3 linked regions of the Mus musculus genome follow. The main gene of each other region encodes a partner of the protein of the gene in region 3 in a complex. Links are inferred from orthologs where the notes say so. Each region holds a gene or a part of one and is shown on either strand. Other genes may lie near its edges.

Region 1 (7,771 bases), on a different chromosome or scaffold from region 3:
GGGTATCTTCCTCAATCCCTCTGTTTTTGTTTGTTGTTGTTGTTGTTTGTTTGAGACAGGGTTTCTCTGTGTAGCCCTGGCTGTCCTGGAACTCACTCTGTAGACCAGGCTGGCCTCGAATTCAGAAATCTGCCTGCCTCTGCCTCCCGAGTGCTGGGACTAAAGCCATGTGTCACCACACCCGGCTCCACCTTATTTCTTAACACGGGATCTTTCACTAACCCTGGAGCTCATCCATCGGGCTAGGCCAGCTGCCAGCAAGCTCCAGGGATCCCATGGTCTCTACCTTCCCATAACACCAGGTGTTTTACATGGGTGCTGGGGATGCAAGCTCAGGTTTTCATGGTTATCCAGACAGTACTTTACCAACTGAGCCATCTCCCAAGCTCTTAATATTATTATTATTATATTATCCCAACATCTTCTTAATATGCTATCATTTATGAACGCTTGTTATACTTTATTTATCTGCGTGTATTTGTGTAAATGTGGATTGTGTTCTTGAAAGTCAGAAGAGGGTGCTGGGTCCTCTAGAGCTAGAGTTACAAGTGGCATGAGCCACCTGAGTTGGAAGAGCAAGAGCTCTTTCTTAACTACCCAACCAATCCTTCACCACCTTTTAAATGCACTCTATAATCCCTCTATACAATATCTACGACTTAAGTATTCATCTTTAAGTAGTCATCTTAAAGTACGCTATTAAGGTTTACTTACAAACATATTACTATATAAGCTTACTTTCTAGAATGTGTAACAACTTAAGAAATTAAATATAAAAGACTGAATTTCTTCTGTCCCACTTATTTACTGCCTAGAATCAGAAGGTGTATTTTTTTTTAAGATTTATTTATTTATTTTATGTATGCAAGCATACTGTCCCTCTCTTCAGAGACACCAGAAGAGGACACTGGGTCCCTTTACAGATGGTTGTGAGCCACCATGTGGTTGCTGGGAATTGAACTCAGGACCTCTGGAAGAACAGTCAGTGTTCTTAACTGCTGAGCCATCTCTCCAGCCCCAGAAGTCATTTTTTAAATATCCCTAAAACTAGTAGGAGGGATAAGAAACCCTATAACAGTATACTGTTTCAGGTGTTGGTTCTTTTCCTCCTCCCTGGTCTCCCACCCCAAAGAGCAAAACTCTACCAGATAAATGACCTTCACACCATTTTTACAAATGATTAACTTATCATGTAATTGCTATAGTAATTTAGCTTATGAAGGCTAAGTCTTCTTGCAGATGTAGGCCCTAAAACGTTTACCTATTATACTTCTAGTTCAGTTTTCTCGCCAAATGGAAGAGAGTGACCACGCCCCGCTTTTAGATCACTTCAGAAAGCCATCTTACTCCAGCTCCTGGAAAGCAGTCACATTGCTTTTCATGAATTCTTTCTCTCTTGAGGCCCAGAACGGCTTCAGGTCCCTCTGGGTCCCCATTTACAGGGCGGCTTCAGGTCCCTCTGAGTCCCCACAGTGAGGAGAAATTACAGGGCTTAGATGAAAACTATCACCTCCAGATGTTTTGCTCTAACGAACTTCTCTAGATGAAGTCAACATTAACGGCAGGAAACTGCTGAGGATACCTTATCTAAGGTATCACTTTGTTAAGAACGTTTAGCACAGGGAGGGGTCCGGGCACAAGGGGTTTCTCAATTAGACCCTTCCTTGTGAACTACAGCCTCCACGATGCACTGCGAGGGTTGAATGCATCCTACTGCTAAAGTCCAACAGAAAATGGCTGATTCTAACTTACTTTGGGAGGGATAATGATAGATCAATTTGTTTCTGGAATCTACATTTAACCACTATGGCTCTTCATGAGAGCAAACCACTTATCTTTTTCTTTCTTTTTTTTTCCCCCCCAAGACAGGGTTTCTCTGTGTAGCCCTGGCTGTCCTGGAACTCACTCTGTAGACCAGGCTGGCCTCGAACTCAGAAATCTACCTGCCTCTGCCTCCCAAGTGCTGGGATTAAAGGCGTGCACCACCACTGCCCGTCCACTTATCCTTTTAAAGCCTTTGATGGAACTGGAAAAAATAAAAAATGTATTATGGAAATGCAAGAGCTTGAATTCCACACGCAACGAACGGTAGACATCTGTGTGGCTACGTGTACGTCAGTCCCTTACATCCAACGAAGCAAAGGCGGTGAAGGCAAGAGGCTGCTCTCTGGAGTACATTTGTCCTTAAGAATATTCTGGGCCCCTGAAATTCGATGCTGATCGCTGTGCTCGTGTTTTCGTATATTATGCAAAAACAAAACAAAACAAAACCCACTTCCCAGAGTCAGAGTCTGAATGAAATAGGACGTAAACCAGTCAGAGATTTCAGTAAGGTAGTCAGGACCTCTCACTGAGGGAGCAAGAGGTGGACGGAAGTGAAGAAAGGCCTCGGTGCAATTGAGAGGAAGTAGAATTACCGAGTGCGGGGCACAGCTCTATTTTCTCCTGCCAGAGTTCTGACTGGCAGAGGCGCCTCCCTAGACGCCCATCTTGGCGCCCCCGGAATCAGGCGTGGCCGAAAGACCTCTCTAAAATTTACCTCAAGTGGCGCAAGTCGGCCGGAGGCGGCAGCTGGCGGAGCCAGAGATGGCGGGAACCAGAGCTTGAAACCCGCGCGAGGGGGCGGAGCCGGAGGGGGCGGGGCCCTAGGCTTGCCCTGGGTGGGCGGGGCCTGCGCTACGAGACGGGGCTCAGTCGGGGCTGAAACCACCAATCGCGACTGGCGTGTGCGAGATGAGGTGTTGGGGGGTGTGTGAGGGGGGATGGGGCGGGGAGGTAGAGAAGGGGCGTGGCGTGGGGCGTGACCGGCGGTAGTCTGCTGTTGCTGCTGCTGCTGCTGCAGTTGCAGTGTTGGTGCTGGTGGGATCAAAGCGCAGTGTCCTGCGGCGGGGAGCTTGGAACGGTACGGTGAGTGTCTGCTGCTCTCGCGCCTTCGAAGGCCTGTGTTGTCCCCCGGAGCTGGCGCTCTTTTGGCGGGTCTGCAGCTCCTTGGAGGAGGCGGGGGAAACGGGCAATCTGGGCGGAGGATCCTTTGTGTTGCCTCCAGGCTTGCTCAGGCAAACACTGAAGGCAGAGAAGCTGGAAACAGCGCCGGGAGCGCGATCCCGAGCTGAGAACCCAGACCCGGGAGGCCAAACCGGTGTCCCTAAACCTGGGTGAGCCGGTGCGGTGTCCCTAAACCTGGGTGAGCCGGAGCGGGTTCAGACCCCTCGAGCATGGCACACGGGCCGCGCTGAGGCTTAAAGGCGGAGTCAGGGGGGTATCTGGAGATCGCCCGGGGTACAGAGCTTCAGGGGCGGGAGGGGGTGAGGCCATAGTGTGGGGGTGAACCTGGAAGCCGAGTGGCGGGAGGTGGCGGGATCCTGGATCTGCAGGCCGAGGTGTGGACTCGGTAGCAGAGGATGGATAGGGGAAGTTCTGCCCTGGGGCCTGGAAGCTAGGCTGATGCTGACCTTGTGGCGGCTCTAAGTGACCCAGCCTCCCTCTGTTACAAGAGCATTTGATCTCCACCTTTAGTTTTCTCCAGTGCACTGTGATTTTTGGTTCTTGCGGAGAGCTGATTTTAAGCATTACTCCTTGAATACTCCAGCTCATTCCTTTGTTGGTCAAAGTCACTGTAGGAGCTTGCATTGACATCTCTTGAGCCATGCTCGGTTACTGTCCCTTCTTCGCGCTTATTAATTAGTCTGTGAAGTTCGACTTGAACAGCAGGGTCTTTACCTCATTCTCCGTTGAGTCACCCAGGAAACGTCCTTCTCAGGCACCTCTTGTGGACCCAACTTCTTCCGCCGTTAGTCCCCGAGCCTTGTAGACCTACGAGTCTGACAGATTTGTACCTGGCCCCTCTTCGGAGTCTTGTGGACTTTCTACGTGTCTGCCAGACTTGTGCCCACCTCAGGGAACTGAAGCAGCCTCCTTGCAGGTCTCTGTCTCCCGCCCAAGACCCCTCTCCAGTGCTCTCTTTAAGACACGAACAAAAACAGTTTTCTAGATGTTCATGTTTACCCTGAAGGCTTAAGTGTAAAACCGTATCCTCTAAACCGGGTTAGCGAAGCCAAACCCTGGGTCTTGGCTGTCTCCCCCCGCCCCCCCCCCTTTTTAGCAGAATGAAGAAGCTCTCCAGGCAATATTGGATACTGTGTCCTTTTCGGGTTTTCTTTCCAGCCCTCTGAGTCCACTGGCTCACCTTTTCTCCCCCTGAGACATTAGCTTATGAACAGGAGCTGCTACGGAGGTTTCCCTTAGTTAGCAATTCCTAGCTGAATCTTCCCATTCCTCCCTTTGCGGCAGGCATTTCCTGAAAGCAGCCGTGTCATATCCTCTACTTTTGCTTGTTTATTGTTTGCCTACCGAACTGTGAGCAAACAACAGTAGGCTCGAACTTTAGCTTGGCTCCCTTCCTTACTGGCTTTTTTTTTTCCACAAGTGACTACTCAACCCATTGGGGTGGGTGGGAAATGTGGGGCCATCGTTACAGTAAGAGTATACACAATAGCAGAGGAGATGCTAAGCTGGGGGTTTGGCCAGCCTTTGGGAAGTTACTTTGGATATGTTAATGGTGGCCACAGGCAGGAGCCCTAAGTATGGAGTGTAGAACCCTGTGACAACCTGGTGTTGAAGCTTTAAAGAATGGCTTTGTTTTGCTGTCCAGTAGACTAAGGCTTTTGGAAAGTGAGAAGGTGTTTTTTTAGTGAGTGGAAGTTTATTGAAATGTAGCCATCGAACTGCTACAAAGTAACAAGTGAAATCCTGCACCTAATTAAATCAGGTTGCTTTTGTGGTCCTGCAGAAAGGTTCTGCCTCCTGCTGTTTTAAGTAGGAATTCTGTATCTTTATCTGATAGAAGCGGGTCCAGGGCCACTCTATGGTTTCAAACCTAGCAACACATTCACTTCATGCGCTTTCTAAAGTTACAACACAGTCTTTTCTTCAAACACATTGCATTAGTTCTGATCTTCGTGTTAGATAATATTAAAGTTCTACCCCAGTGATAGAGGTAGAATACGATGTGGAAATTCTTACATTCTTGAGTACTGTTTTATATATAGTCATTTAACAGATTAAAAAAAGTTTGGAGAGGAAAGGGTATTCCATCATCATCATCTGACTGTCTGAGGCCAGGAGCCCGGGGCCTACCAGCTTCTTCATAAATAAAGCATAATCTATATTGCTCAGAGGGTTGTGTAAAGATCAGATGAAATAGTATGTGTGACATTCTACATAATAGTCCTTGTTCTGGTCTCTTTGTTTTGGCCTTCAATATTACCTGGGGAGGGTCTTCATTCTGCTAAAGTACAATGAAATTATCTAGTAAGAACAGAACATGGACTGCTTAATGTCTACCTTGCTGCTGTTTTTAAATGCCAGTGAACATACATAACAGCTCTGGATAGGGGTAGAGTCTGCCTCTTCCACTACTTCATACGCTCAGGGTTTAATGAAACATCTTCATACAGTTGATAATCAGTAGATTACATAGTTATCTGTAATTTTTATAAAAGACATCAAGGATCTTCCACTCTATACTTTTATTTCAACAACAACAAATTGTTTTCAAACAGGTCAGTAATTCTTACACATCCCTAAGAGCGTATAGTTTTATCCTCTTCAGGGTTTCGCTTGGGAGAGGACAAGACAGACCCTTTGCAGATAGTAAGCATCACATTTTTTTCTAGCTTGTGGCACAATGTCAGGGCTTCATCAGGTGTCTGCCTCCCTGGTTGTGTGTCCCATTCCAGAAACAAGAAAACGAGATGACTTATTTGTTCCTATGAGACAATATGTTCTCCATATTTTCTTTTCCTTTCCACCTTTCTTTTCACTCTCACTATATTTTCAACATTAGAAGGTTGGCTTTATCAGGCTGAATGACAATAGCCAGGTCAATGAACCCCCAAAGGAACTGAGACCAGATGGGACAGATTTTAGAACAAAGAAAGCCAACCACTGATTATACTAAGAAATCTTTTCTTAACCAGATGATTGTGAAACAAGTGCTCTTTCTGTTTCATTTACTTAATATGAAAGTGCTCGCAGCCAGGCGGTGGTGGCACACGCCTTTAATCCCAGCACTTGGGAGGCAGAGGCAGGCGGATTTCTGAGTTTGAGGCCAGCCTGGTCTACAAAGTGAGTTCCAGGACAGCCAGGGCTACACAGAGAAACCCTGTCTCGGAACACCCCCCCCCCCAAAAAAAAAAAAGAAAGTGCTCCTGATTCTTTGTCCTCGCTGAGAGGTAGTAAATAGAATCCTGGTGTTTCTCAAATCATTCTGCCAGGCTACAGTGGCTTCATGTTCCTATCAATAAGAAGGTAGGTAGACACGTAGGAAATATTTTAACAAATGCTTAACCAGGTATTATACATTTATAAATAAACTACCTGGTGGGATGAGAAACATCATAATCATTATTACTGTTTTCTTCATTGCAATAACTGCAGTAAGTATTAACCTGTATTTGTGGTCTTTACCAACTGTAAATAGAATTGTGAGAGACTAGAAATTGAATCTGTATTGAAATGTATAGACTTTTCATCATCCCCCGAACAACACTACGTAAAAACAGGTATCATTAGTAATAAGTAGTAGGGATGCTTAGCTTATATGTAAATAATACACCATTTTATACAAAGGATTTGAACTTGAATTTGCTATCTGAGGAAGGTTCTAGAGACAGTCACCCACAAAATACTGAAGAACATCTGTGTATTTTATTTCAGTTTTGAATAATCAGCTTCTACCATACTGTATGTTTTAAATCTCATCTTAATCAGAGAACCTGGGCTTACAGATTTTTGTTCCATTGAAATTAACTTTAGTGTTGTCGCAACTATATGATATATGATGCTGAGCAGTCTATAGACTGTAGAATGGAGCGTGAGTCATGGCTCTGTTACTTAAAAAGTGATAAACTCTCTTCTGAGCTCCATTTAATTAAGATTTAAAGAGGAACCATTATATCCCGGTGTTATTGCGAAGCCCAACTGAAAGTACCTGTGTGCCGCTCAGTCTAGCACATGTGGGCTGGAAAGAAAAGCAATAGTTACTTTGGCTACTACTTTGTTAAGTCTTAACTCCTAATTTTTGAGTATTTATATCTAGGGAGATGATTCTGAAATGGAGAATTTTTTTTTTTTTTAATTTTTTTTTTTTTTTTTTTTTGGTTTGGTTTTTTCGAGACAGGGTTTCTCTGTATAGCCCTGGCTGTCCTGAAACTCACTTTGTAGACCAGGCTGGCCTCGAACTCAGAAATCCGCCTGCCTCTGCCTCCCAAGTGCTGGGATTAAAGGCGTGCGCCACCACCGCCCGGCTGAAATGGAGAATTTGAAGTCTCGTGTATCATGAGATCTAGAAAACTCATAGACCAGGCCGATGCCTGGCCTCATGAGGTCTCTGTAGGTCAGCCACGAGGTCAGCCTGATGATAGGGGACAAATTCTCCAATTATGAATCTCCAAAACTTAGTCTGGGGAGATGGCTCAGAAGGTAAGCATGGAGACCCAAGTTCAGATCCGTAGCACCCACATAAAAACTGGATGTGAATTGTGGCTGTAACCCACCAGAGATACGAAGATCAGGACTCGCTGTCTTAGTGTAGCAAAAAGAGAGAGCTCTAGGCAGGTTCAGTGAGAGACTTTTGTCTCAAAAAATAAGGCAGTAGGCACTAGAGGAAGATGCCAGAAGGCTACCTCTGGCCTCTCCATGCTCGGGCAAGCGCACACACCTCTAAAACTGGTTTGTACTAATGTATCATCTTGTTTTTAAATCCCTACGA
Region 2 (7,884 bases), on a different chromosome or scaffold from region 3:
CTCGGGAGGCAGATTTCTGAGTTCGAGGCCAGCCTGGTCTACAAAGTGAGTTCCAGGACAGCCAGGGCTACACAGAGAAACCCTGTCTCGAAAACAAAACAAAACAAAACAAAACAAAACAAAACAAACAAACAAAAAAGGAAATCCAAGGGGAAGATGAGGATTGGAGTGGAGATGGCAAGTTTTTATTTTTATTTTTTTCTCACTGTTCTTTAGGGTCCCAATATCATCTGCTCAAGGCAACAGGTGCCCGCAGCGTTGGCTGCAGTAGCAGCAAATATCAGGTCAGGGATTGACTGGAATCTGAGGGTGGCCAACGGGTTCAGGAGCACAGAGGCCCTAGGTGTAGACTTCTGACCTGAGGGGCTGCCAAGCCTTCCTGCCAAACCCACCTCAGCTCTCAGGGGCCAGACTTGCTGCAAGTCTTCCTGCTTTGTATGCGATTGGGGTTAGGGAGGTCATGGTGCAGTCATTGGATGTTCCAGAAAATGTATGGAAGCGAAGGCTGCCTTGCCCGTCTGGACACTCGTGATAAGGCCCTGAGCCAGCGCAGGCAGTTTAGATGATTATCAGGACCAACAGTTGCAGCAGAAGTGCTTCTTGAACTGATCAAAAACAACCCCAGGGTGACACATCTGTTTGTCCTGGGGGAAAAGAGGACCCATTTTAGAGATGTGAAGAGAAAGTTGAGGGGAGCTAGTGAGCCCCAAGCTTAGTCCCACTCCCTACTTAGTCACATGGGGTCCATGAGACTGGCATACCTCAGTTTCCTCATTTGCCAACATACTGATTCCCTTCTGCTGGGACCTTAAACCAATTTGATGTCGCAAGCATTTGCTAAACTGTAAGAAAACCCAGGATCAAAACAAACTAGCGAACAGAAAAGCTGAGTGTAGTAGTGCACACTTTTAATCCCAGCACTGGATAGGCAGAGGCAGGTGGATCTCTCAATTAGAAGCCAGCCTGGTCTACAGAGTGAGTTCCAAGACAGCCAGGGCTCCACAGAGAAACACTGTCTCAAAAAACAAAATAAAATCGAAACAAAAAGAAAGAAAACAAAAACCGTCCAATCCTGTGATCCCTTTCAGTCTTCTATTCCTCTGTAGAACCTCTACTCTTCAGGTGTCTGTGTCTCCTCCCAACCTGTCTTCTGCTCACACACCCCATGAGGGATATGTCTTCCACCTGAAGAGCCTCAGCTCAGAGCCTCTAAATAGAATCCAGTTATGTGCCAATCAAATCTTTCCAAAAGGCCTCCCGCTGTTGCTCGTGTCCTTGCACCGTCTCCCTTGGACCCTGTCCACTCCCCCCATCCCGCCCCTTCAGCTGCTCCATCTGTGATGTCTTTGCATGCTCAGCTTGTGTTCTGAGCTCTAGCCCCCCTACTGACTTGACAACGTCTCATCTCAGAACCACACCAAACTCAGCATGCTAACGTGGAACTCACACCTTTCTCTTGCTCCATAAACCTACCTGAGCCTGCAAAAAAAAATCTGCAGGGATCTTTGACACACTTCTTCCCATCAGCACTGTCTTTTTATTGTTGTTGTTTTCTCGAGACAGGGTTTCTCTGTGTTGCCCTGGCTGTCCTGGAATTCACTCTGTAGACCAGGCTAGCCCCGAACTCAGAAATTCGCCTGCCTCTGACTCCTAAGTGCTGGGATTAAAGGCATGTGCCACCACACTGGCCCATCAGCACTGTCTTAGGCCATTTCCTGTTGCTTTAATAAAATGCTTGATACTGGGGGGCTGGAGAGATGGCTCATCGGCTAAGAGCACTGACTGCTCTTCCAGAAGTCCCGAGTTCAAATCCCAACAGCCACATGGTGCCTCACAACCGTTTCTAATGGGACCTATGGGATCTGGTGTGTGAAGACAGTTATAGTGTACTCATACATAAATACACAAATCTTTTAAAAAAATTGATACTGGATTATTTATTCATTTAATGAAACAGGGTGTCATATAGTAGTCCATGCTGGTATCAAACTTCTGGTCCTCCTGTCTCTTCTTGTTGTTGTTTTTGTTTTTTTTTTTCAAGACAGGGTTTCTCTGTATAGCCCTGGCTGTCCTGGAACTCACTCTGTAGACCAGAAATCCGCCTGCCTCTGCCTCCCAAGTGCTGGGATTAAAGGCGTGTGTCACCACGCTCGGCTCCTCCTGTCTCTTCTTAAGGGATGGGATTACAGGACTCAAATTTATAATCCCCCTGCCTCAGTCTCCTAAACTCTGGGATTACAGTTGTGACTCTCCAAATCGAGCTTCCGCACCGTGCTTCTAGAACAAACAGACTCTTCCTTTGGGCACTGGCCAGTCACGCCAAGTGGCCTGCAATTACATTGCCAGCTAACACTACACTCCCATGTTACCGTCCATAAATTTAACTTCTGAGAATTTACAACTACTCGGAATTGCAGTCTTCTCCAAATCTAACTTCAGCTAGTTTGGCATTGGGGTGGCCTCCATTATAAGATCAGGCAGTCAGTCACCCACTACTCTTGTAAACTGAATCATTCGTTCTCTCTTGCTCCCTCCTCGCTAAGCCGCTTTAAATAGGATCTCAGGATCTCCATCGGGGTGAAAAAAAAATCCGGGAGAAAGCACACCCATAAAGACCCCAGGAAACAAGAAAGTCGAAGAAAGTAGGCTGATGGGGTTGGGGGTGGGGTGGGGGCAAGAGCCGCGCTTGCTCAAGGCGCCTCTGCTGCGCCTCCTCCGCTCCGCCGGGGGCGCTGTGGATAAGCTCCGCGGCAGCCCGAGCCGCTCTAGCCCCTCATCCCGCCACTCCGAGAGCCTGGCGCGCCGCGGGGTCCTCCAAGATGGCGGCGCAGAGGAGGAGCCTGCTCCAGAGTGTGAGGAAACCGACCCGCTCTCCGGGCTGGGAGGGTTGGGAGCTCGGGTGTGTCCTCGGGTGCAGGAACTGTTGTCTTTAGATGGCAGAGCATGGCCCTCTCGCCCCAGAGGCCTTTGGGGGCTTGCAGCGCGCGAGACCCACAGCCGGCTGGCGCCGCGCCTGTTCTGCGCGTGCGCGTCGCAGGCTGGGGCCTCTAGGGGGTCAAGGGCGCCGGGGTCCTGCGGAGTGGGAGCGTCCTCGAGCCGGAAGGGGACGTGGCGCCGCCGAGCGGGCCATCCGGAGCGTGGACACGACTAATAATAAATAGCCCCCCGCTTGTGTAAGGCGTGCTGTATCTCTGGCATTGTGTGGACCGCCTCGCGTTTATAAGCTTCGCCAGCAGCACCGGAGAATAGTTAGCGACTAAAAGTTTTTACAGACGAGGAAACCGAGGTCAGGCAGCTGGTGAGCGGCAGAGGCAGAGGCAGGATTAAAATAGTCTGGTTCCAGAAACACCCCTAAGGTTTAGGCTCCTCAAGTGAGGGCGTAGGGTTTTACTTCTGCCTCCCAGTTCACCGGGTCCCGTTGAAGGTTGGCTCCAGGCACCCCGACCTGGTCATCTGGACCTCCACGGTTTGATGTAGTCTACCCGTCCCTGCATCTTTCTCACATATGTGCAGTTACACATGTATGTATGTTAGCTCAGAGTACTGTTTGGATCTGCCAGGACAGGGCGGGGATCCCTTGGCCTTCCTTACCGTGGCACTCTGTAGGAGTTGCCTCTGGATGTCTGCTTCCTTGAAGACCAGCGCCTCTTAGCATGTTGACTTCACCACCCTACCACCCTTGCATGCTAGGTGCTTGGTCAGTGTCTGTCACAGAATGAGGAAATTGGTCAGGAACTAGGTCTTGGCTTTTCAAGGGTGGGGGGAAGTAGCTTGCCTGGCCTAGAGGATCTGAAGCCAGAGGGAGACGTGGGGGAAGAGAGAGATGGCTTTCCCTTCACTATTGTGTGCCTGCTCGGGCCTTTTGTAAAACCCTGGGAGTAAAGAGGTCTGGCTCTCTGTTTTGTAAGGTCCCAGAGGGCAAGGCCCTTGTATAAATGTCCCCATTGTAGAAAGCGTCTGGGGAACACTGATATGATTGTGACCTTGAGAGAAAGAGGGGCTGGGAAAAAAATAGTGACTGATGCCGACTGAGTTGGCTTGCTAACAAGAGAAAGGTCGACTGGGTCAAGTATCTTCTGTCTCTTCCTTGTGATGGGACCCAAAGAACACCAGTTAGGGCAGAGTGTAGGCTTTTCCCAGCACACAGAGAATGTGTTCTCTGTGTATGCTGGCGGACTTTAAAAAGGGGGAGGGAGGGCCGGCTTTAACCCGTAGTGTCTTGATGCTAGGGAAGGAACAGGAAAAGATAACTGTGTAAGGCCCCTTCCATCCTCAGGATGAAAGGACATACCTACTGAGAGGAATCCCGGTGTCCCAGCCGGGCAGGGTGCAGGGCTTGCTGACCTGTCCTTCGTCCTGTGTCTGGTGAGAGCAGCTCCAATATCTGTGTTCTGCAAATGACCTTGAAAGCTGCTAGTCTGGGCCTCTTGGGAAGATGAAAGGGCAGCAGGGGAAGAGGAGCGTGAGCCCCAGCACCGTGGCTAAGGCATAGTCAGCGTGGACTTCCATAGGGAACCCTGGACAGGCCGCAGAGAACTGCAGGGGATTCAGGGGTGTTAAGTCTCAAACCCAGAAAAATAGCTGAGGTCTCAACACATCAAAGTGAGCCTGGTTGTCAGGCTCTCCCAGCATCCCTCGGGCTGCTCTTCCTATAGAACTGAACAATTTTGGTGACCCACCTCTTTTGTACCTTTGTCTTTTTGGCTGCTGTACCCCATTCCCTTGCTTTCCCCTTCCCTTCCCTCCCTCTCCCCCATGGCTTAGGGTTCGACTCTGGACTCTCTTAGATGTCTCTGCCTCTGCTCTCCCATTTTCCTACAGTAAGAACTTTTCTCCTCTACCATACCCACACGTAGGAGCAGTCATGGCCTTTCCTTTTTAGGTTTTTTTTTTTTTTTTTTTAAATTCAGTTTTTTACAAGACAGGAGGGACACCCAAGGGGAATACAATGTATTTAACTAAATTTGTATGTGAGGGGTCTGAAAATCCATGTGTCAGATAGAAATAGTGTGTTGACAGGTAGTGAACAGTTGTGGGATAGGCTGGTAATGGGCTCATGTGGGTCTTGAAGGGGCATCATCCTTGGGCAGTTTGGTAGAGTTTCTGGAAGAAAAGGCCTTCTGAGGGATTTTTACCTATTATCTCTAGTCAGTGTGCTTTAAAAGGGTTTGGTTTTGGGGATTTTGGATTTGAGGGCTTCCTGGGTAGTTGGTTTGTTTTTAATTTTAATTTTTTAAAATTCCATTTTGCCTGCATGTAAGTGTTCTGGGTACATGCCTGGTGCCTGTGGAGGGCAGAAGGAGGTTCCAGTCGTAAGGTTCTGACAACTGAACTTGGGTCTCCTGGAACAAAAGTCAATGTTCCAGGCTACTAAGTCATCTCTCTAGTGCTGAGTTTGTTTGATTGTCTTGAGACAAAGTCTCACTATGTATCAGTGGCTGACCTCCAGCTCACTATATGGCCTTGAACTTGGAGATCTGTTTCCGAATGCTGGGGCAGCATACACCACTACATTCAGCTAAGAAAAGTGGTTTTAAAGAAAATCTTAGAATGGTGGTTCTCAGCCTTCTTAATGTAACTCTTTAAAACAGTTCTTCATGTTGTGACTCCCAACCACAAAATTATCTCATTGCTACTTTATAACTAATTTTGCTACTTGTTATGAATCATAATGTAGCTATCTAACATGTAGGATATCTGATATAGAACTCCTGTGACCTCCAAAAAGGTCTTCACCCGCAGGTTTAGAAGACCCCAGCCATAGCAGCCTGAAAAAAGCCTGTGAGTCTCACAGAGATTTACCCATAGTTTCCCCGGTCCAGAAGGCCTCCCAGGAGAACCGATACTATAAATGGACTGCCACAGTGTTTCCAATTCTAGATGGTAACAGTCAGCTGTGGGGGCTCTGCGAATACCAGGAGATCCTTACCACAGAGTAAGGATCTGAGTGTCCACATGAGGCGAGGAGGAGATCTGGTTCAACAGGAATCGGTAGCTGGTGTGGGGTCAAACTTCTAGAAGCCGATTCAGAGCAGTTTACTTTAGCCATGTGTAAGCACAGTAGAGCTTTGGAAAGAAGCTCTCCGTGACAGTTATCACAGTAATGCTTAAGGCGGGGCTGCCTCGAAACTCTTGCAAAATCCTTAAGGATGAGTTCTAGTGACTGAGAAATAGTGCTCAGGATGAAGGTCTAGGGAGGAGTCTGGGATGAACACAGTAGTATGGGGAATGCAGCTGTGGTCTGGCCCTACAGTCTGCACAGGTCACCAGGCCGTGAACAGTATCCATCCCCAGCTCTCTGGCAACAGCAGGTATGCAGCCTTCTGTTGAAGAGACAACCCTGTGTGTTCAATATTCCTGGTTTCCCTCATGCTTATCAGTGTGCACAGGGACCTGTTGCCCTCTACACCTCAACAGCAGACTTCTGTCTTCAGTGCTGCTGTGAGTGAGCCAGTGCCTTGCAGTGACCCTTGAGTGTTCCTCCTGTGGTAGGCACTGTGCTGGAGCAGGGGTGGTGGTGGGGGATGACGACGACACGCCCTGACAGATGCTAAACAGCAAGTACAGACTCTGTGTAATTTAATAATAGTTAATGAATCAGGCAGATCTTTGAGAGTTCAAGGCCAGCCTGTTCTACAGAGTAAAAACCAGAACAGATAGAACTACACAGAGAAACTTTGTCTCAAACAAAAGCAAAATCCATTTGGTTTGTTACTATGACTGTAATCCCTGCTCCTCAGGAGGCTGAATTAGACTTGAGTCCAGGCATCTGTGGCCAACCTTGGCAACACAGTAAGATGATATCCCCCAAAATATAAAAAAAACCCAAGTTTTAAGCAAGCAAAGGATGTTGTCACCCTGAAGTCGTGTTTAGACTGAAGTTTGTCCTGAGGAATGATATTTATGCGATCACATGCTGCGGCCTATGCTTTTTCCCCTGTGCACCTTAAACAAGCGCAGGGCTGCGCTCAGGTGGTCGTGTGCCTAATGTGCATGAAGACCTGTGTTTGATTCCCAGCACCTCATAAAACAGAGCGTAAGGACAGTCTTGTAATCCTGGGACTTGGGAAGCTGGGCAAGAGGGTGAGGGGCTTGAATTTGACTATATGAGGCCTTGTCTCTAAGCAAATGTGCCCACTGGAAAAAAACATATATTCAGGATACACACACACACACACTGTGTGTATCCAGGGCTGGTGATAAGGCTCATGGAAGAGTGTGCACAAGTCCTCAGGTTCCATCCCCAGCAATAGGGGGAAAAGGAAGGAAAGAAAGAACAACGTACATGTGTCAATACCTGAGCGGTGTACTAGCTACTCACCAGCCTGGGATGGGGGTCCAGCTGCTGGTCTGGTCTGCAGAGACCATCCCGCAGTTCTTAGGAGCCTTGTGAGCGTCCATCATGGAGTCTGACAGCAGCATAGAGCATTTGATGGAGCTCTGGAAGGCAGTGGGAGCCTGGAGTGAGTTGGCCTCAGAGAAGTGGGTCATACAAGAGGTTTATTGGAGAGAAGGAACTGCTGTCCCTCACCCTAAGCCATCTTCCCAGGGCCATTGCCCCCCCCCCCCCCAAGCTTCTTTTTGGTCTCTGTGGCAATGGATTGCTTTCACCACAGAAACACTCAGCCTTTTCATGCCATAATTTGATATTCAAGCTGTGGCCTGAACAGGGAACAGGGCTTTGTCCACTTGTCTGCCGGGGGTTTTGAGATGAGTCGTGTGGGAACTATTACTGCAGACCTTGATTTCGATAAGAGTCCATGAGAATGTGAGGAACTCATTCTTAAACAAACATGCACAGGTGTTTGTGAAGCCTCTGAGGCCACACACACAAGGGTCACTATGAGTTTTCAGAGCACAGCAGGACTGTAGGGGGCTCCCTCT
Region 3 (7,168 bases):
GCGAGTTCCAGGACAGTTGAAATATAGAGAAAAACTCCGTTCCACACCACCACCACCACCACCAAACCCCCATACATAATCACACTGAAAATTACATTTAGGGCTGGAGAGATGGCTTAGCTGTTAAGAGCACTGACTGCTCTTTCTAAGGTTCTGATAAATCCCAGCAACCACATGGTGGCTCACAACCATCCATAATGAGATCTGACGCCCTCTTCTGGTGTGTCTGAAGACAGCTATAGTGTACTTACATATAATAATAAATAAATCTTAAAAAAACCTAAATCTACAATATGCTATGGAATTTAGAAGACCCTGTTATAGTGCTTAGTTCTATTAACAATTTATAATAGTGCATGCATTTAATTGGGAGGCAATAGCAGGCATATCTCTGTGAGGTTGAGGCTAGCGTGTTGTATAAAACAACTTCCATGACAGCCAGGGGTACACAGAGAAATCCTGTCTCTAAAAACAAAATGAAACAAAACGAAATTATACCATGGCCATGGGTAGATCACATCACCTTTGTTTCTTCAGAGGAATGTAGGACTAACTGCAGTGGATGCAGCTCAGAGTACTTACTATTCACGGCTCAGTCACCAGCACCAAACAACAACAAACACCATCACAGTATCGGCTTTAGCTGCATGTGGGGGCACACACCCCAATCCCAGCACTTAGAAACTGAGGCAGAAAGAGACAGGTCCAGGCCAGTCTGGCCTACACAGTAGACAGACTACTGGGATAGCTCAGAGGTTAAGAACATTGGCTCTTCCAGAGGACCTGAGTTCAATTCCTGGCACTCACATGGAGGCTCACAACTACTTTTAACTTCAGCCCCATGGGATCTAACACCCTCTCCTGGCTTCTGGGGCAACCAGGCATGCATATGGCACACATATATGAAGGCTGACCACCCATACAGATTAAATAAATAAGTAAATAAAAATGTAAAAATCTAAACTTCTAATCTCTTTGTTGTTTTAATACATTTTCCTCCCTCCCTTCCTTTCTTAAAACCATGCCATGCAATCCAGACTGACCACAAGTTCAGAATTCTCCTGCTTTAACATTGTGAGTGCTAGGATTAGATTTCCACCACAGCACCTGGCTTTCTATTAATGTTCTCACTACAAAACTATCTGGAATAAAATTATAAGCACTTCATTAAATTCTTAAATTTATAGCAGCCTCATTAAACATACTATAATAAATTGGCCACAAAACTAAACAGATTTATTTTTAATAGGCATATTTACCGATTTTTTTAGTTAGCGATGGTGTTTTTTCAGCAGTTCTTCCCTAAAATAGAAATATGAATGGTAAGAATTCACTTTAGCAGAAAGCAATTATCTCAATTTGAAAAGTTAATAAACTTAAAACAAATTGGCTTTATTCTAATTTAAAAACCCTGACTATTCATAAGAGCATAACCTAACGGAATGGAAGGAAGGTAAGACTATCTATCTACTCATCACCCCTTTATAAACAAGAAGCTGAGGGCCAAAGAGATCCAACGATCCCCTGGAGAACAAACCAATACAAATGCAGCTAAAAGCTAAGGGTAGAACCGTCATGTCCACTCTAGACTCCCACTGCAGTCCAAAGTTCTTCTCAGTATACTAATGCTCTGACGGCCACTGTTCTGTGTCAATTCAGACACAGTTGTTCATCTTGATTGAACCCAGGGGCTTGTTTATGCTAGCCAGAAAAGGTAAAACCCACGTATATCTCTGTCCTTATTTTTGCAATCTGAAGTATTATCTGCTAAAAGGTTACTAAAGACACACACACACACACACACACACACACACACACACCATAGGAAGACTAACAGTCAATGAACTTGGACCATTGGAGTCTCCTAGAGACTGAATCACCAGCCAAAGAGCAAGCATGGGCTGGACCTACACATGCCCCCTGCACATATATAGTAGATGTACAGCTTGGTCTATGTGGGTCCCCCAACAACTGAAGTGGGGGGGGCTGTTCCTAAACCTATTGCCTGCCTGTGGATCCTGTTCCTCCAACTGAGCCTCCTTGTCTGGCCTCAGCAGGAGAGGATGTACCTAATGCTGCAGTGACTTGATATGGCAGGGTGGGATGGGGAGAGAATGAGGGAAGAAGTTGTGTAAGGGAGAAACTGGGAAATGGGGAGTGGATATTGGGATGTAAAGTGAATAAATAAATTAATGAAAACAAAAGAAAAACAAATAATATAGAATTTGAAAATATATTGCACAATAAGCTACTCACCAAAGATTCCTCAAGTGAATGGGTTAAATGAATATTATTTATATATTCTTGCCCCTTCTCATCCAATAGGTATTTGCACCTAAAAGATTAAAGAAAATTAAATTAAACTCTACTAGCTGATAAATTAGTGAAGTACTAGTAAAGGCAGTCTCCAGCATTCAATTCCATTAACTATCTTGGGGCCAGAGAGAAGGCACTTTCTGACAAGTTCAATCTCAGGAGCTCACAGAGGAGAACAAACCCCTCCAGGCTGTACAGACCGCCAACTGTGCATTATGCGATGTACATCCCCCACCCATGCAATGGACAAACAAGTAAAACCAACCTTTTCATTCTTGTCTTTTTTGTATGTTACTGGGGATTAAACTAAGAGCCATGAGCACACTAAGCAGGCACTCCATCACTTAACTATAACATCAGTTCCCATTAGAGGCCATTCTGAAGCTGGCCTCAAATTTGCTATGTAGCCAAACATGACCTTGGACTTCTAAACCTCCTGCCTACATATCCCAAATGCTAGGATTATAAGCAGGAATAACCATAAATCACCCCAGTCTTTTAAAAACAGCTTTTTATTTGTGATAGGGTCTTTCTAAGAAGTCCAAGGCTGGCCTTGAATGTGTAGCCTAGACAGGCCCTGAAATTCCCATTCTCCTATCTCAGCAGACTCCTAAGCAGCTGATGTTAAATGCCTCAGCTTCATTCACTGTTTCTGAGGAGCCACAAAGTACTGCTATACAACTCCTTATCCAGCTATAATTTCAAGACTATTACTCATGCTAATAATGTCAATTTGAGAACTTCCAATTTATAAGTAAGAGTTACTGAATTAGGAGCCAAGTATGGTGACATCTGACTATAATCTCAGCACTTGGGAGGCTGAGACAGGAAAACTGATATGAAAACCTGGCTACTCTGCTATAGTCTGTGCCAAAAAAGAAAATGAAAAAACAGTCAAAAAAGCTATTAGCCAGGCATGGTGGCAAAACCTGAATTATCCGCACTTAGAAGATTAACCAAGAACAGAAGTTTAGTGCCATCTTTGGCTACATAGTGAATTCTTGCCAACCTGAGGTACAAGAGATACTATCCCAAAAAAGACAAGACACCTCTATAATACTCGAGAGGCAGAAGCTGGAGGGCTGCCACGAGTTTGAAGGCCAGCCCCATCTACATAGGAATTTGCAGGCTAGTTAAGGCTACATAACAAGACCGTATCTCAAACAAACAAAACTAAAACCAGGCAAAAGAAGCTATTAAATCAGTACCCTAACACTGAGTTAGTACTATTTATTTATTTGGTTTTTCTGATATAGGGTTTCTCTGTATAGCCTTGGCTGTCCTGGAACTCCACAGACTAGGCTGGCCTCAAACTCAAAAGAGATCCACCTGCTTCTGCCTCCTGAGTGCTGGGATTAAAGCCATTTGTCACCAACACCACCAGGCCATACTGACAATTTTTTTTAAAGGTTCAAAATGGTTAATCTTTTAAAACCAGTACTGAAAACTTAAAAACCTTAGTTTTTATTTTCTCATTTATCTTGAATGTTGTTTTAAAAAGATTCTTTTCAAATGATTGTTCTAATGTTTGAAGTTGCATTATTTTATATATTAGAAGCTCACATAACTTATACACCTGAGTATTTTTGAGGCAAGATGACAAAGAGTCTGAGACAAGAGGGTTTCGAGATGGAGGCCAGCCTGGAAGGCATGGGCAATTTCAGGTCTACCTGAGCTAATATGAGACCTTGCCTCGAATTAAAAAACAAACAAACAATACTATACATTATGACCATTCTTCGGGACTTCTCATGGCACTATGGGCTCATGCCAATCTCCAAAGAGCCTACTTCTAAATAAAAAGTATGTATTTTTGTATACTAAATAAAAGAATATACATTTTAATAATTTGGTTTTAGAAATGGAATCATCTAAGTATCATATGACATATAAACAGTGAATGTTTTGGTTACCTAAAGTCTTAGGTGTTTTTTTTTTTTTTTTTTTTTTTTTTGCCTACAAAGTAGGTGACCCCATTTCTGTAAACTTGGTGTGAATTTCAAGCCATAGTGAAGGCAAAAATAGTTGAGGTGAAAACTAATTCAAATATTTCCACTGCACAATGTCCAACTTTTCTGTTACTGAATGAACAATTAAGGATCTTACTTACCCTGGGTACCACTTCGCATGCTGTTCCCAAGGGTCTTCACTTGGCTTCCAATCCGTGAGCCCTCCTCCACAGTGAAAGCACTTCACTTTATCGCCTTCACCTAACAAAACATGCAAGGAAAACTGTGCCTTTCTGTGCAAGTCTAAGTTTTCAGAAAATGCCCGTTTTAACATCTAAGTTACATAAAACCTCATGCTTTAAAAGACAACATTCACATTCCATCTAGATATGATCTTTGTCATTTGAAGGAAAATACATACTAAGTTCATCATCTCAATATAATGTGCTTAGTAGACTACAATGAAAATAAAATCACAGTATTTCTGTTAGAAACTATAATTGTTACATTCTTCCTAGTGTATGTCAGTTGGACCACCACTATTAAACTTTAGTTCATCAAACTGAAATCTGTTTAAGTTATATTCCAAATGTTAACAATAATACACTTCGGCATAAATTATTTACAAGCATAAATCTTTAAGGACAGAGCTCTCTGACATGAAACAGATCTTTATGATTACTAATGTTATGGGCTGGAGAGATGGCTCAGAGGTTAAGAGCACTAACTGCTTTTCCAGAGGTCCTGAGTTCAAGTCCCAGCAACCACATGGTGGCTCACAACCACCTGTAATTGGATCCAATGTTCTCTTCTGGTGTGTCTGAAGAGTGCAACAGTATACTCATATCCAGTAAATAAACAAATAAATAAATAAATCCAAAAAAAGATCACTATGTTATATAAGTGAAATAATTTATATTTGAATTTGGCATTATTTTCCTAAAATAAATGAGTCAGGCATGCAGATTAAAATAGTCCTAGAAGCCATAACACTGGCAGCTTTTCTTGGAACATGCATAGGCATTGTTTGAAAAGTACTCTGAAACAGTTCAGGCAGCTTCCAAAGATGTGGTGTACACTTTAAAGGCAGACGTTAATTTTTATTTGGTTGGCTTTTTGAGAGATGGCATCACGATGTAGCCCAAACTGCCCTCAAACTCATGCTCATTATTCTACCTCGGCTGCTAAGATTGCTGGAATTTCAGGTATGTGGCACCATGCTAAGCTTGATGTCGATTTACCAAGAATCAACCAAATTCTCTAAGGTTAACTATTTCTATGGAATTGTGGTGAAGCTTAGAGAAAATCCATGTAGTAAATATTTTGAGCATACAGAGTAGACATTTAATAAATGGCAGACGGTATTTATTACTAATAGATCCACTATCTGTCAGAAATTGATACTATCTTTTCTCTCAACTCTAACCTCCCCCAGCCAAGAATTACTTGAACACAGATCTGACTCATAAAAGTATAGCCTTTTAACATAAATTCAGTAGTTACATTAAAGATGTAACATGAATCCAGAGAATGAGCAAACTAAAGACTAAAAGAGCAGGAGCTCTGTGACATTTGGAAAGTAATTGTCTGGTGAAGTTTACCTAAAGCATAAAATCCAGCTCTTGCAAGCTGCTCCTTGTTAACTGAGGATGTCCATGTTCCAAAAGTAACGATCCGTGCTTCATATTCTGCCATGGCTGGATTTCTTGGAGAGTTTGTTGAATTTGGGAAATTCCTATCAGAACTCACACCAGATTCACTTCGAACATTAACGTTCCGGCCCAAAACAAAAAAGCAATTGGGAAAGTGTCTCCTGTGTTCTGACCAGGCACGATCACAGGGTTCCCAATTTTTCAGTTTTCCCCCACAACAAAAGCATTGCACTTGATCATCAGCCCCTGTGTAGTAGAGGCCAGCACTAGCTAACTCTCTGGGGGTTAAATGAGCATAGTCCGGCCAGTTCTGAAATGACTTCAATCTGGCTTCTTCACTACACATGGCAGGGTTCCTCGGGTATATGGTGTCTGAAATATCTACAACCTGTCCAGTTCTCAAGAGATAATCAGCATGAGTCTCAGGTGGCCTGTCAGGGGCAAAAGGATTTCTATTTCCCACACAGTTTTCAGATTTGTACTGGCCATTTTGGATACCAGGATTTGTAGACTGTGCAGCACCATTTTCAAAATAAAAACCATTGATAAATCTGCAATTTGGGGATATTCTCCTGTGTCTTCCAACAGCTGAGTCTCCATACTGCCATCTATCTATTGCCGCATGACAACTGAAACATTGCACGGTGTCTCCTTCACCGGTATAAAGAAACCCAGCTCGCGCCAATGTTGATGCTGAAACAGGACTACTACTTGGGAAGTTAGCAAATGTTTTTAATCTATTAAACTCTTCTACAAATTCTTCATCCTTATTGGTGTCTGCAAGTACAAAAGTTCTAGTTCCTTCAAAACTGTTAAAAGTCATCTTCTCTGGAAAATAGGACTTGTCCACCTTTTCTAGAAAGAGAACATTGCATTAGGAACTTCAAAACACAAAGCATAAGGACTATTTCTGATACTAAGCACTAATATATTATCCAGTGATGACATAAAAATAATGGCACAATAACTAAGACACATTTTAATTCTAAACAGTAGAGTCGTACATTACCAAACCACTTGAGTTTTAAAGTCTGCGCTTTTGTTTGTTCTCCTTTTTTAGTGTTTGGGCTTCACATAATGCCAAACACATGCTCTAACAGACCTACACCCCCAGCCTGTTTCTCTCTCACTTAAATAAGTACTAGGGATCCATCATAGGGCCTTTTGCATTTTAGGAAAGTGCTCTAGCAACGAGCCTCAACCTCAGTCCCATTTTGTCTTTTGATGGAAAATAGTATATAAACAAACAGA

The links. The genes of interacting proteins can lie anywhere in the genome.
Region 1: the proteins of Xiap (region 3) and Casp3 are in contact, whole or in part, in a crystal structure (PDB 1I3O), measured with the Homo sapiens proteins. The link is inferred for Mus musculus from reciprocal best matches to the Homo sapiens genes XIAP and CASP3. Residues at the interface, in NP_001158.2 of Homo sapiens: Ala137, Leu140, Leu141, Gly144, Gln145, Val146, Val147, Asp148, Ile149, Ser150, Asp151, Thr152, Ile153, Tyr154, Asn226, Leu231, Gly232, Arg233, Asn234; in NP_001341706.1 of Homo sapiens: Tyr204, Trp206, Arg207, Asn208, Ser209, Lys210, Asp211, Trp214, Gln217, Lys242, Thr245, Glu246, Phe247, Glu248, Ser249, Phe250, Phe252, Thr255, Phe256.
Region 2: the proteins of Xiap (region 3) and Tab1 are in contact, whole or in part, in a crystal structure (PDB 2POP), measured with the Homo sapiens proteins. The link is inferred for Mus musculus from reciprocal best matches to the Homo sapiens genes XIAP and TAB1. Residues at the interface, in NP_001158.2 of Homo sapiens: Phe33, Ala34, Ser38, Gly39, Pro41, Ser43, Ala44, Ser45, Thr46, Arg49, Tyr75, Ser78, Ala79, Val80, Gly81, Arg84, Phe92, Ile93, Gly95, Tyr97, Leu98; in NP_006107.1 of Homo sapiens: Glu99, Ala100, Arg103, Thr201, Gln202, Leu203, Glu212, Asp213, Phe216, Arg217, Gln220, Arg241, Glu269, Glu271, Ile272, His273, Ala275, Gln276, Pro277.

The regions. Positions count from the first base shown.
Region 1 is NC_000074.6:46,614,595-46,622,365, forward strand, and holds the start of Casp3 (caspase-3), read left to right. Parts: upstream 1-2,696; 5' UTR 2,697-2,907; intron 2,908-3,029; exon of another isoform or gene 3,030-3,184; intron 3,185-7,771. UniProt on the Homo sapiens protein: Thiol protease that acts as a major effector caspase involved in the execution phase of apoptosis. Following cleavage and activation by initiator caspases (CASP8, CASP9 and/or CASP10), mediates execution of apoptosis by catalyzing cleavage of many proteins.
Region 2 is NC_000081.6:80,130,337-80,138,220, forward strand, and holds the start of Tab1 (TGF-beta-activated kinase 1 and MAP3K7-binding protein 1), read left to right. Parts: upstream 1-2,809; 5' UTR 2,810-2,819; coding exon 2,820-2,852; intron 2,853-4,291; exon of another isoform or gene 4,292-7,884. UniProt on the Homo sapiens protein: Key adapter protein that plays an essential role in JNK and NF-kappa-B activation and proinflammatory cytokines production in response to stimulation with TLRs and cytokines.
Region 3 is NC_000086.7:42,093,971-42,101,138, reverse strand, and holds part of Xiap (E3 ubiquitin-protein ligase XIAP), read right to left. Parts: intron 6,773-7,168; 5' UTR 6,768-6,772; coding exon of another isoform or gene 6,741-6,767; coding exon 5,867-6,740; intron 4,527-5,866; coding exon 4,427-4,526; intron 2,336-4,426; coding exon 2,257-2,335; intron 1,303-2,256; coding exon 1,260-1,302; intron 1-1,259.